Drosophila melanogaster: one gene and its partner. The protein of the gene in region 1 purifies or fractionates together with the protein of each later gene. This does not show direct contact. Each region holds a gene or a part of one and is shown on either strand. Other genes may lie near its edges.

Region 1 (5,230 bases):
GACCTTAATCTAGTTTTCCACTGTCACACAGTATATGGAACTCGTGACCTTCGTTTCACTCGGTGGCGGCTATTAGCATCAGAGGACCTTCAACATAACATATTGATGTGAAAGCAATGAATTGCAACATAAATTATTTCGTGAATATTTATTTGTTTCTTTTAAATAATAGTTGTAAAGTAAAAACAATTAATTTGTCTTATGCTACTCAAAAATTTCCAGTGGTCAATTTCATAATGATATAGAAGAATATTATTGCCAATTGTGAAATAAACGGAAATAGTACACGCCTCGACCCCTTTGACCCAATTCAGTTTTAAGTTGCCAAGCTGGATTAAATACTGAATTCAAGATCACTGCCAGTTTCGATTATGCAGAACCGATAAGGCCAGTTCGTGTAGAATTCCGGAAGAATTGCCGATAAGGAATAAGTAGGGCCAAGTTTCAGATAAATCCAAAGCCACTATGGGGAATTTGATTCGTTTTTTGGCATAAATGTGTTTTTAAAAATGTTTCAATTGTTGAACACTTTTTTCTTAACGGATTAAGATCAAGGCTTAAGTTATGTAACGCAAATGTAAATTAATCAATGTTAAAAACCACGTGCCATCGATGACCTTCTTTTTTAGTGCTTACGAAAATTAATTGAGTTTCAAAAAATTTTTGATATGTGTGTTAGTCAATGTTTTAGAGTGATTAATTACCTACTTAGAACACATACGGTTAACGCGACTTTTGCGAATGCTACTTATTGTGACTTTTCGCGAAGATTACATTTTTAGGTAGCAATCAGCAATGCGGCCCTGATAGAAGTGTACGAAATGCGACTCTGAAAGATTTTTTTATCAATAAAAATGTTAAGAGACTTAAGTTTGTACCGATTGTGGACAATCTAAAACATGGTGTAACTCCAATACATTGGTGGATTAGATAGAATATATTGATTTAAAAAAAAAATTTTATGGGAGTGGGCGGGGCACCCACTTTGCCAAAATAATTCTAAATTCATCGTATCTTAAATAGTTTACGAGATATTAATTTATGCCAATAAAACATGTTAAATTCCCCATAGTGCAAGCGCACTACCAGCCTCATTTCACAGCGATAAGCAACTTGTGGTTTCTTTTTATATAATATGAATTCTTTGGTTTTTACATACGGGCAATCTGTGTTAAAAAAAAACAATTCCTTTTATCACTATATACATCCTAATAATGAATTTTATTGTGTGAGTGCCGACGACGGACATAAAAACCCAACATTTTTGGTGGCAAGCAGTTAGTCGTCTTCGGTCGTTCTAGTTTACCAATCCTTCAGGATTTCATATCCCTAAACTATTTTTTTGTTTTTTATTTTTTGTTAAATTTCCCGCGTGTGAAATACGAAGTTGATTGTATGTCAGTTTTTCATTTGGCCTGGCTAGCTTACTCCTTTTTAAATATTGCTAGCTGCCTTGTGAAGGGCTTACGTGTAATTGCAGTTCGACTCCCGAATAATAAATTTTTCGACTGTTTAAAATTTACCATTATTTTGGGGTATCCTAAAAGTTTTGTTACATTAATAACTACATCTGATTAATTCGTGGATCAAATGTTGTATATTCTTTGTAGCGTTCATAATATAAACCTTTAAAAAAAGCTACTAATAAACTGTCTCTTATCAGATACGGAGATGGTGGAGTGCTAGAGAGAAATTTAAAAACTCTTCTAAAAAATAACAAACTAAATAAATATGAAACTATTATAAATATGTGAGTGTAATAGAGGACGTGGCAAGCCCAGGGAACAAATTTTCCCTGCATAGAAAGACTAAAATCTTTTTGGCACCAGAAAACTTAAATTTCTTATATCAAAAATTATTATTATATTATTATATTTATGGATTATTATATGCTTACTCAAAAATATACAATCAATTTTTCAACTAATATAAGTCCGCTAGGGGGACTTGAATTTAAACTTAAATAGCACAATTAGTGGGACCGCCAATCCTCGTTTCTCCTATGCATTTTAGAGTGACCGCTTTCCTTCGACTGCGATATGTATTGCGTGTACATTATCGACGTCTGAAAAAATCACGCGTGCTGTATATCGATATTTGTCATGTACTAAATACCATTCCTCGGCTAAATTAAATCGCAAAATTGCGTCGAAACTTGGGGAAAAGTGCTGGGACAGGCAGCTGAAAACTAAGCTAACGGAAAAGCATCGTGAGGGAAAACAGCGAAACTTTGCGAGCGGGAAATTTTGGAGCTACAACCTAGAAACGGCAGTGCGCAAATGTAAAATGCACGGAATATTCGCATGTGCAGTGTGATAATAAATAAACGCCAAAGAAAATTTTCGGCGCAGGGGCAAACACACCAATGCACAATAGCGGCGGCGCGTTCGTGTGCGTGCGCCTTTTTTTTCTTTGTGAGTGTGTATGTGTGTTATCATAAAGGAGCTGGAAAAACAACAAAAATACACAGGTGCGTATGTGGGTGTAAACTAGTGGTAGGGGTCAACAAATTTTCCGATTTTCCACTGTGACAGTCTATAATTTATATGTGTATATAGAGATTTGTAGTGGCATAAGTGAATGCCCAAAAGTTTCGGAGTTTCTGAGCTAACGGTTCTTGCTGGCTTGTGTGTGTGTATTAGGTTATCATATATGTGTGCTGGTGTATTTAGCTTGTGTTACCGTTACATCGGCGCCGTAAATGAAAATCCAACTGCGAGTGTCCGTAACTTAACCATGCGCCTCAGCTAAAAGTTAAAACAAAGACAGGAAACTCCGATAGGAAGGATGATGTGTAAAGTAGGGTTGTAGAATAGAAACGCCAAACAGGTATCACTTCCAATTGTGTGCACGACAGCACACGCATTTCCCATTTGCATTGGAAGGTATGCGTGTTTTTGATGCATCTGTGTCTGTGTGATTCTGACGTTTTTGGGGTTGCGAAAAACACCCAAACCACCCCCTAGAGACGAAAAATTTGTAGATACACACATGGATAAACAGAGCGGGATGGCTAGCTCACAGCAACCTTCATTGGGTTTTTCCAGTTCCAATAGTGAAGGACGCCACTGTTATAGGTTGTATTGGGGTGGGCTATAAAAGTACAGTTCCAATTGGAACAGGGCAACGGCCAGCCTACAATTACAGATTATATTTGTTACATCTTTTAAATCTAAGGAATAAGAGTATTTTATTTATTTTATGGCCGATTTAAACACATGCCTAACAAAAATAGTTTCTACTCGAGATGAGTTTAAGATAGTCAAGAACATTTAATAGCTCAAACAAATATAAAAATTTAGACATAACAAGAAGATTACATTTTTGCTGGTATTTTCCTGTTTCCCCGACTATAAACTCCTACGAACTCTTACTGTTGGTTGTATATGTACATACATATGTATATTTCTGTCACTGCATTGCTATGAACAGTGGTGGTCTTTGCGCCGACTCCACTGCCGCGACAACCTTCGCATGCGTAACTTGCCTCTCGTTTGTATTTTCGCTGTTATCATTTCATTTTTGTAGAGCTGTGCTGTCCAGCACAGAAAAAAGAGTATGGTGGGAAATTAAGAGAGGGAGAGAGAGAAACAGCAGTACCAAGAAAATTCGATTGTGGGAAAGGGAAAGTAAAAAAACACGGTGGGGTCAATTCTTTGCAGAACATAACAAATTGTCTTATCATAATTTGGTAATTATTGCGGCTGTTAGTCTTGCATGCTTAAAATTATAAAAAAGTGTCTTAAGGTATTTTTAATTTTCCTATATATGTATAGATAGAATAAACGATACTTCGATGTAAACGGCAGTAACTTTTTGGAGTTTACGGAAGCTGGGGTTAAAGAATTTAAATATTCAAAAATAATGAAATATTCACGAATACTAAAAATTGCCTTAAGAATACATATAAAACGCGAAAGCACACATACGCTTACATTAAATAGTAAATTGAGAAAACACCGAATAAGAAGAATTTATGATCGGATACAACAAGAGTATAATTTCTTTTCTAATATTTTGATCAAATTGAAACCGAAATTATGATGTCAAAAACGGCTTTTACGAGTATACGCTTTGTGCGAAATATAAAAACAAACTAGGATTCTTTTTCCTCAATTTCCCTGTGACTTTTCGACTTCTCGATGCAATTACAACCGAAATATATTGAAGTGTATATATGTATATATATATATATATACTTATGTATATATATGTACAGATGTTAAAACAACGATGCTACACTTTTTTAAATTATTTTTTTTTTTATTATTCCGTACCGAATAATATACCATGTGCAAGACAAAGAATACTCTTGGAAAAGGTGCAAGCATATAACATTAAAACTAAGAGAATAATTTTCGTAGACACGTATAGACGGACGTGGCTTTGTCGCCTGTGGTGTTGACACTGATCAAGAATAGTATACATCGCAAATGCCTTCTTTACAGTGTTGCTAACTTCCGACACAAAGTTTAGTTGCGCTTACTGCAACCTGTGGGCATCACTGTGTAGGCCTTAAATCTTAAAGGACTCTAAAATGGCCTACTTCTATAATTAGAAAGAAAACCTGAAGACTACATCCAACAAACGCAGAGCTTTTTAATTTGGCAATACTTTAGGTTCCTTCACACAATTTCATCACCCACCTTTTTCAGAATCCGGATAAGAATGTATATATGTATGTGTCTTAGGGGGTGAACATATACTCTCTCTACTCTTTTCCCCTTTCTCTCATCATCAGATGCCTATTTTGATTACAATCAAGGTTTAGAAGTGTGCTCACTTTTGCTGGGCCACTTTTCTCGATATATGTGTGGCACGCGCAAGTGGGTCGTGCTCACATCCCCTATAAGGACGTGGGAGTTGGTGGTGTTCCCACTGCATTGTTTCGCGGGGGTGATTGGGTAGTTCGAGTAGTGCATGCGTGGTAGTTTAAAAAAGATCCAAGGAAAATAAATAAAAACACTGCATAAGATAGTTTCATCGTGAGGTGCACCTCGAGCTGGGCGAGTTTGCGTGTGTATTCAGTGCGGTGAAAGGTGTGGGATTTAAGGGGTTGGTTTTTTCGGAGCCCGAATCTCTCCTTATACATTCCTATTAGGGGTGTTGATAACAGCTCATATATCTGAGCTCTTCTGGTTTAAAGTAAGGGAGCTTTAATGGAGACACAGTAGTGCACGTTTAACCGAAGTTATAAGAACATTCAAGTAATAACATTCATAACACATAA
Region 2 (5,336 bases), on another chromosome or scaffold:
AATCTTATCTAAATGGCTACTCGTGCAGCCGTTTAATATACTTAAAGGCTAGATTTCTCAAGTGTTCCCTAGAAATCAGGGGCTATCATGAAATTACAAAATCAAAGAGCTTTGTATATTAATAACTATTTAATCGAAATGAGCTATAATTCAATATACTCTCAGCACGCAAGGGCTATGGACCCGGTGATCAGGATTGGGGATTTGTGGATGTCAGGACTGGCGCCCACATGTTCTACTGGCTGTACTACACCACCGCCAATGTCTCCAGTTACACGGAGCGTCCGCTGGCCATTTGGCTCCAAGGAGGTCCAGGTGCCTCCTCAACGGGATACGGAAACTTTGAGGAGTTGGGTCCCCTGAAGCTCGACGGCAGCTACCGCGACTGGACTTGGGTGAAGGACATGAACGTGATGTTCATCGACAATCCCGTGGGCAGTGGTTTCAGCTACGTGGACGGATCTTCTTACTACACGACCAACAACAAGCAGATCGCCCTGGATCTCGTTGAGCTGATGAAGGGCTTCTACACAAACCACCCGGAATTCAAGACTGTGCCGCTGCACATCTTCTGCGAGAGTTATGGCGGAAAGATGGCCCCGGAGTTCGCTTTGGAGTTGGATTACGCCATCAAGCGCGGTGAGATCGAGAGCAACTTTGTTTCGGTGGCCTTGGGAGATCCCTGGACCTCACCCATAGACTCTGTGCTCTCGTGGGCTCCCTTCCTGCTGCAGTTGGGAATCGTGGATCAGGATGGCCATGACAAGATTGAAGCTTCGGCCCTGAAGACTAAGGACTATGTTGACCGCGAGAAGTGGACACAGGCCACTTTGCAGTGGAGCTCCACCCAGTCAGTGGTGCTGCGCGAGTCCAAGGGAGTGGACTTCTATAACGTGGAGACCCCAACATTGGGTGATCAGTACAGGTTGATGTCCAGAGCTGCCATGACTCCGGAGGGTAAGATCCGTTGCGTAACTTACCGAGCTGATTCTCATCAACCACTTATCCAGAGGTCATGTATCGCACCCTCGTGAAATTCGATGTGGATGAGGACCGCGACAAATTGCTGGAGGATCTAATGCTTGGACCCGTGACCGAGGCCCTCGGAATCAACACCGGAGTGAAATGGGGCGCCCAGAGCGGCACCACCTTCACCAAGCTGATGGGCGATTTCATGAAGCCAGCTGTGGATGTTGGTATGTTTCAACCGTCTGGGTGCTACCTCAAATTATAGCCTTATGACACTTTTAGTGGGTGAACTGCTGAACAACACCACCGTAAAAGTGGGCGTGTTCTCCGGAGGACTGGACCTGATTTGCGCCACTCCGGGAGCCGTCAACTGGATCGAAGCAATGGAATGGTCCGCCAAGCCATCTTACCAGGTCTCTCCGCGCGTGGGAATCACCGTAGATCGAGTTCTCGAGGGTTACGAGAAGACCTATGGCAACTTCAGCATGTTTTGGGTCAACCGGGCTGGTCACATGGTTCCTGCCGATAATCCCGCGGCCATGTCGCACATCCTGCGACACTTCACCAAATTCGGTTAAACAAATTAGCCGGAGAAAAGCGTTAAAATAAAGATTATTTTCGAAATGTATGGACTCGTGGGTTTCCAATTGGTGGTGGTTCGATTAATTTAAATTAAATATTGATTACAATTCGCAAAGACTTTATAGTTATATTTTACAGTGCAGTTAGTTGCAGATCTTGTGAAATCAATTCATTCTTAAACTGAAAACAAAATACATACATACATATGTATGTTCTCATTAATCTTACTCTACTTAAAAAGCGATCGCCTGCAGAGTTGCCACATGGCGAAAGTAACAGTAAAGTTGTCGCATGCGCAGTTGCACCCTCTCAGCTGGTCACACGCACACACACTCTCGCACACGCCGACTTCCCTTCCGTTCTAGTTGCCCACGTTGCGCATGCGAGAGCGAGAGAGGGAGCGAGCAGAGAATGAAAACTGCGCGAGATAACGCGGCAGCTATTTTTGTATGGGTCGTCGTCTAGTTCGCACGGACATCGGAAAATACGCAAGGTGCAGCGCACGGCCAGTTGGAAAATCACAATCAGAAGACAAATCGAGTGCCTAGGAAGAGAAAACGAAAGCGAATAGAGCCAAAGCGCATTGAAAGGCCAAAGAAAAGCGAGAAAAGCAGTGACGAAATGATTTGAATTCGCTTGACAGTCAACGCGCATAATCGTAGCCATCGCACACACACAGCCGCACGGACACACACACACAGGCGGGCGGGTGTGTGAGTGAGAGAGCAGAAAGGGTGCAAGGGGTGGGCGAAATTGAGTGGGCGCAGCAGCAGCAACAAAAACAAACAAGACGAAAACAAACGGCAATTGCCGTGTAAATTGCACGGAAAGCACAAACAATGCGGATACGCGAAAAACGCAAGTTGCAGAGGGAGCTGAGGGTGGAGAAGCGCGTGGAGAGGGAGAAAAAGGAGCACAAGGAGGCCTCCAAGACGCAGGACAACAACAACAAGGCGAAGGTAAGTGGCCACAGTCAAGCCTCGCAAAGTGTTTCCACCCCATTTCACTTCTCAAAGAACACGAGTGTAAATGACTTGATCTAGGCGTTTATTTGTATATAAGCTTGAATGAGTATGAGTATAAAAGCCCCATGTATTCCTTGAAACTTCGTCTTTCTTAACTGTTGCTTTTGTTAACATAACTAAATATGCAAAGACCTTCTGTTGTTTTGTCTACATTATTCATGTTCAGAGGGAGCACTGTATCTCTACATTCATGGTGGCATTACTTTGCACGATTTCAACTGTTACCATAAAACCCGGTAATAACAGCACTTTTTTTCCCTTCGTCGTTAGGCCACTGACACGGAGGTTCTCACACCAGCTCCTGCGCCTGCGCCTGCTCCACCAGCAGCACCCACTTCGACTGCATCACCCACACCCACTAGCACGCACACCCCCAGCCTGCCGGCCGCCGAGAAGGTGGCCTTCGACAATCGCATCAAGCGCAAGAATGTCCTGGCCCTCAACGAAAAGGTTGCTGCTCTGCGGGAATACGATCGGCTGCCGGTTTATAAGCACGTTGGCCGGCTGTTCAACTGCAGCCCAGATCAGATCAAGCGGATCGTGCAGCAGCGCGCTGAGATTCTGAACGCGTGGGATCAGCGAACCCGCAGGAGCCAGGACGCCAAGACCATGGAGACGAAGACCGTCAGGGTCTCGATGTTGGGCAAGGCCGTGTACGATTGGATACGCCGCATGATGTACTACAAGGACTTCAGCATCTCCGACGGACTCATCCAGAAGATGGCGCTGCAGTTCAAGAGCTCCATGAACCTGGCACATTTCTTTCCGCACCAGGAGTGGTGCGACAAGTTCAGACGCACCTACAGCATCCAACACAGCGACACCAGACTGTTGAAGATAGGCTACACGCAGGGCTACTCGGTGCAGATCAAGGACATCGTCAAGGACGTCATGTCGGAAAGCATGCCGGAAAGTGGGCCACGGAACGGCGAGGAGGATGACGAAGAGGTCAGCTTGGGCAGCCCGGTGAGCAGCCATCCCCGCAGCTATGTAGAAGACGAGGATGACGAGGTGGATGTCGACGGTGGCGGTATTAGCGGCGAGGATGATCTGGAGGAGGAGCCTGATGTCAAGCCCTCACTAAGCGAACTAAATTTTGCCAGGGCTCTGAAGCCCTTGCCGCCTCTAGTTAGACTGCCCCTCCAAGCTAACACACCGCCAGGCACCACTCAAAAAGTTCTCCTGGCCACACCCATTGTTCCGACGCAAGCGGGCGGACAGCCCATGACCATGACCATCATACCACTAGCCACGCTCGCTCAGAGCATCACCAAGATTCCTGCCCCACAGCAGCAGGACAAAGGACCGGTGGTACCGCCGCCCAAACTAGAGATCAAGCAGGAAAAGGAAATCAAAGTGGAGCCCAAGGACCCGGAAGAGCTCCTGGCGAAGCAGCCCGAGGCGGAGCTCCAGGAGAACGATGACCGAGCACAAAGGGAAAAGGATCTTGAAATTCCGCCTACAGTGCACATAAAAGTGGAGCCAGAGGCTGAGCTGGAATCGGAACTGGACCAAGACCCAGCGGATCTCGATGAAGACGCGAACAATGGTCGCTCCAGTGTCACCTCGCTGGCCGAGGTTCTGGCGGCCAATGTGGAGGACGAGATGGAGTACATCGAGCAGATGCGGCAGCGAAAGGTGAGTTCGCCTGCGGCAGTTGAAAACTCGCTGAATCCTCGCCAGGGCACCAAACGTCGCTATGAGTCCGCCCAAGACGATAACAACAATGGGGGATCCGGCCAAGAAAGTGGGTCCAGTGTCATCAGCTGCGCCGATGCACGCAAGTACCTAAAGCTACTCGAGGAGTTTGCTCTGTACAAGGAGAACTACCGGCTGATTGAGCTGATCACACGAGCCGATGAAGTGATGCGCGAAATGGATGACAATGTGCCGTAGAATGCTCCAAACAGTGAGCGCCACATGAAGGAGAACGAAGAGGAGGAGGAATAGCTGCAGCCAAAGAGTGTAATCTTTGCAAACTGATGCATCTAGAAGATGCACATCGGTCGGATGCAATCAATCATTAGATCTAAGGTGAACATAATTTGTATTCGAACCAAATAAACGCAATCAAACCAAGTTTCTAGTGAGTAAATTTGATGTGGTTATAAAATATTGTGATGAATGAGCTAATGTCAATTGTCAATTGGTCTGTTGGAACTATTTTATACTATGCTCCCGACTGTAACCCTATTATTTTGACCTGTGTTGTATGTTATAACAGCTACATTTCCTTCCACACATTCTCGCCAGAACAAAAAGTCGGCTAAATATACGCGCTAATTGTTTTTTTTTCGAAGTGCGCATGTCTGCCCTTAGTTGGGCTTCTTCTTCTTTTTTTGCCGGGCGGGAGGTCACCCACACACACACACACAGGCGAGCCAGAAGAGAGAAAGAGACAAAGCGCATGTAAATGAAAATAACGGAACAAAGAGGTCAATCATTGAATTCTATCTTGTTAAAGAGAGAATTTCCCTGATTCAGAGTGTATTTTAAAATTTTCCCTGATCAGTGTGAAATTTTGGAGAGCGAGTTAAAATAAATTCATACTTTGCTGATGATTTCCTTATGCCGACAATCTTGATTGGGGCTAAGATGGGTAAGTGCGCAGGTCTGCCCTTAGTTAAAGTCTGAATATTTGCTGCTTTCCTCTCCCGCACACACGTGCACCTAAATTGCGGGGGAGCTGTAAGTCATTGTTTAATCCATATAATTAAAACTAATACAATAAGAAAATCGGATTCAGCTACGTTTTTGTTT

The links.
Region 2: the proteins of ewg (region 1) and ebd1 purify together in Drosophila melanogaster (affinity purification with western blotting; one study listed by BioGRID). This does not show direct contact.

The regions. Positions count from the first base shown.
Region 1 is NC_004354.4:276,425-281,654, reverse strand, and holds the start of ewg (erect wing), read left to right. Parts: upstream 1-2,020; 5' UTR 2,021-2,470; intron 2,471-5,230. UniProt on the Drosophila melanogaster protein: May function as a positive regulator of transcription in developing and differentiated neurons, regulating common aspects of neuronal differentiation and maintenance. Requirement in the CNS may be higher than in the peripheral system.
Region 2 is NT_037436.4:682,202-687,537, reverse strand, and holds ebd1 (earthbound 1), read left to right. Parts: upstream 1-1,988; 5' UTR 1,989-2,390; coding exon 2,391-2,510; intron 2,511-2,846; coding exon 2,847-4,472; 3' UTR 4,473-4,653; downstream 4,654-5,336. Other genes in the region: hiro (highroad), read left to right, coding at 166-957, 1,011-1,196, 1,252-1,547.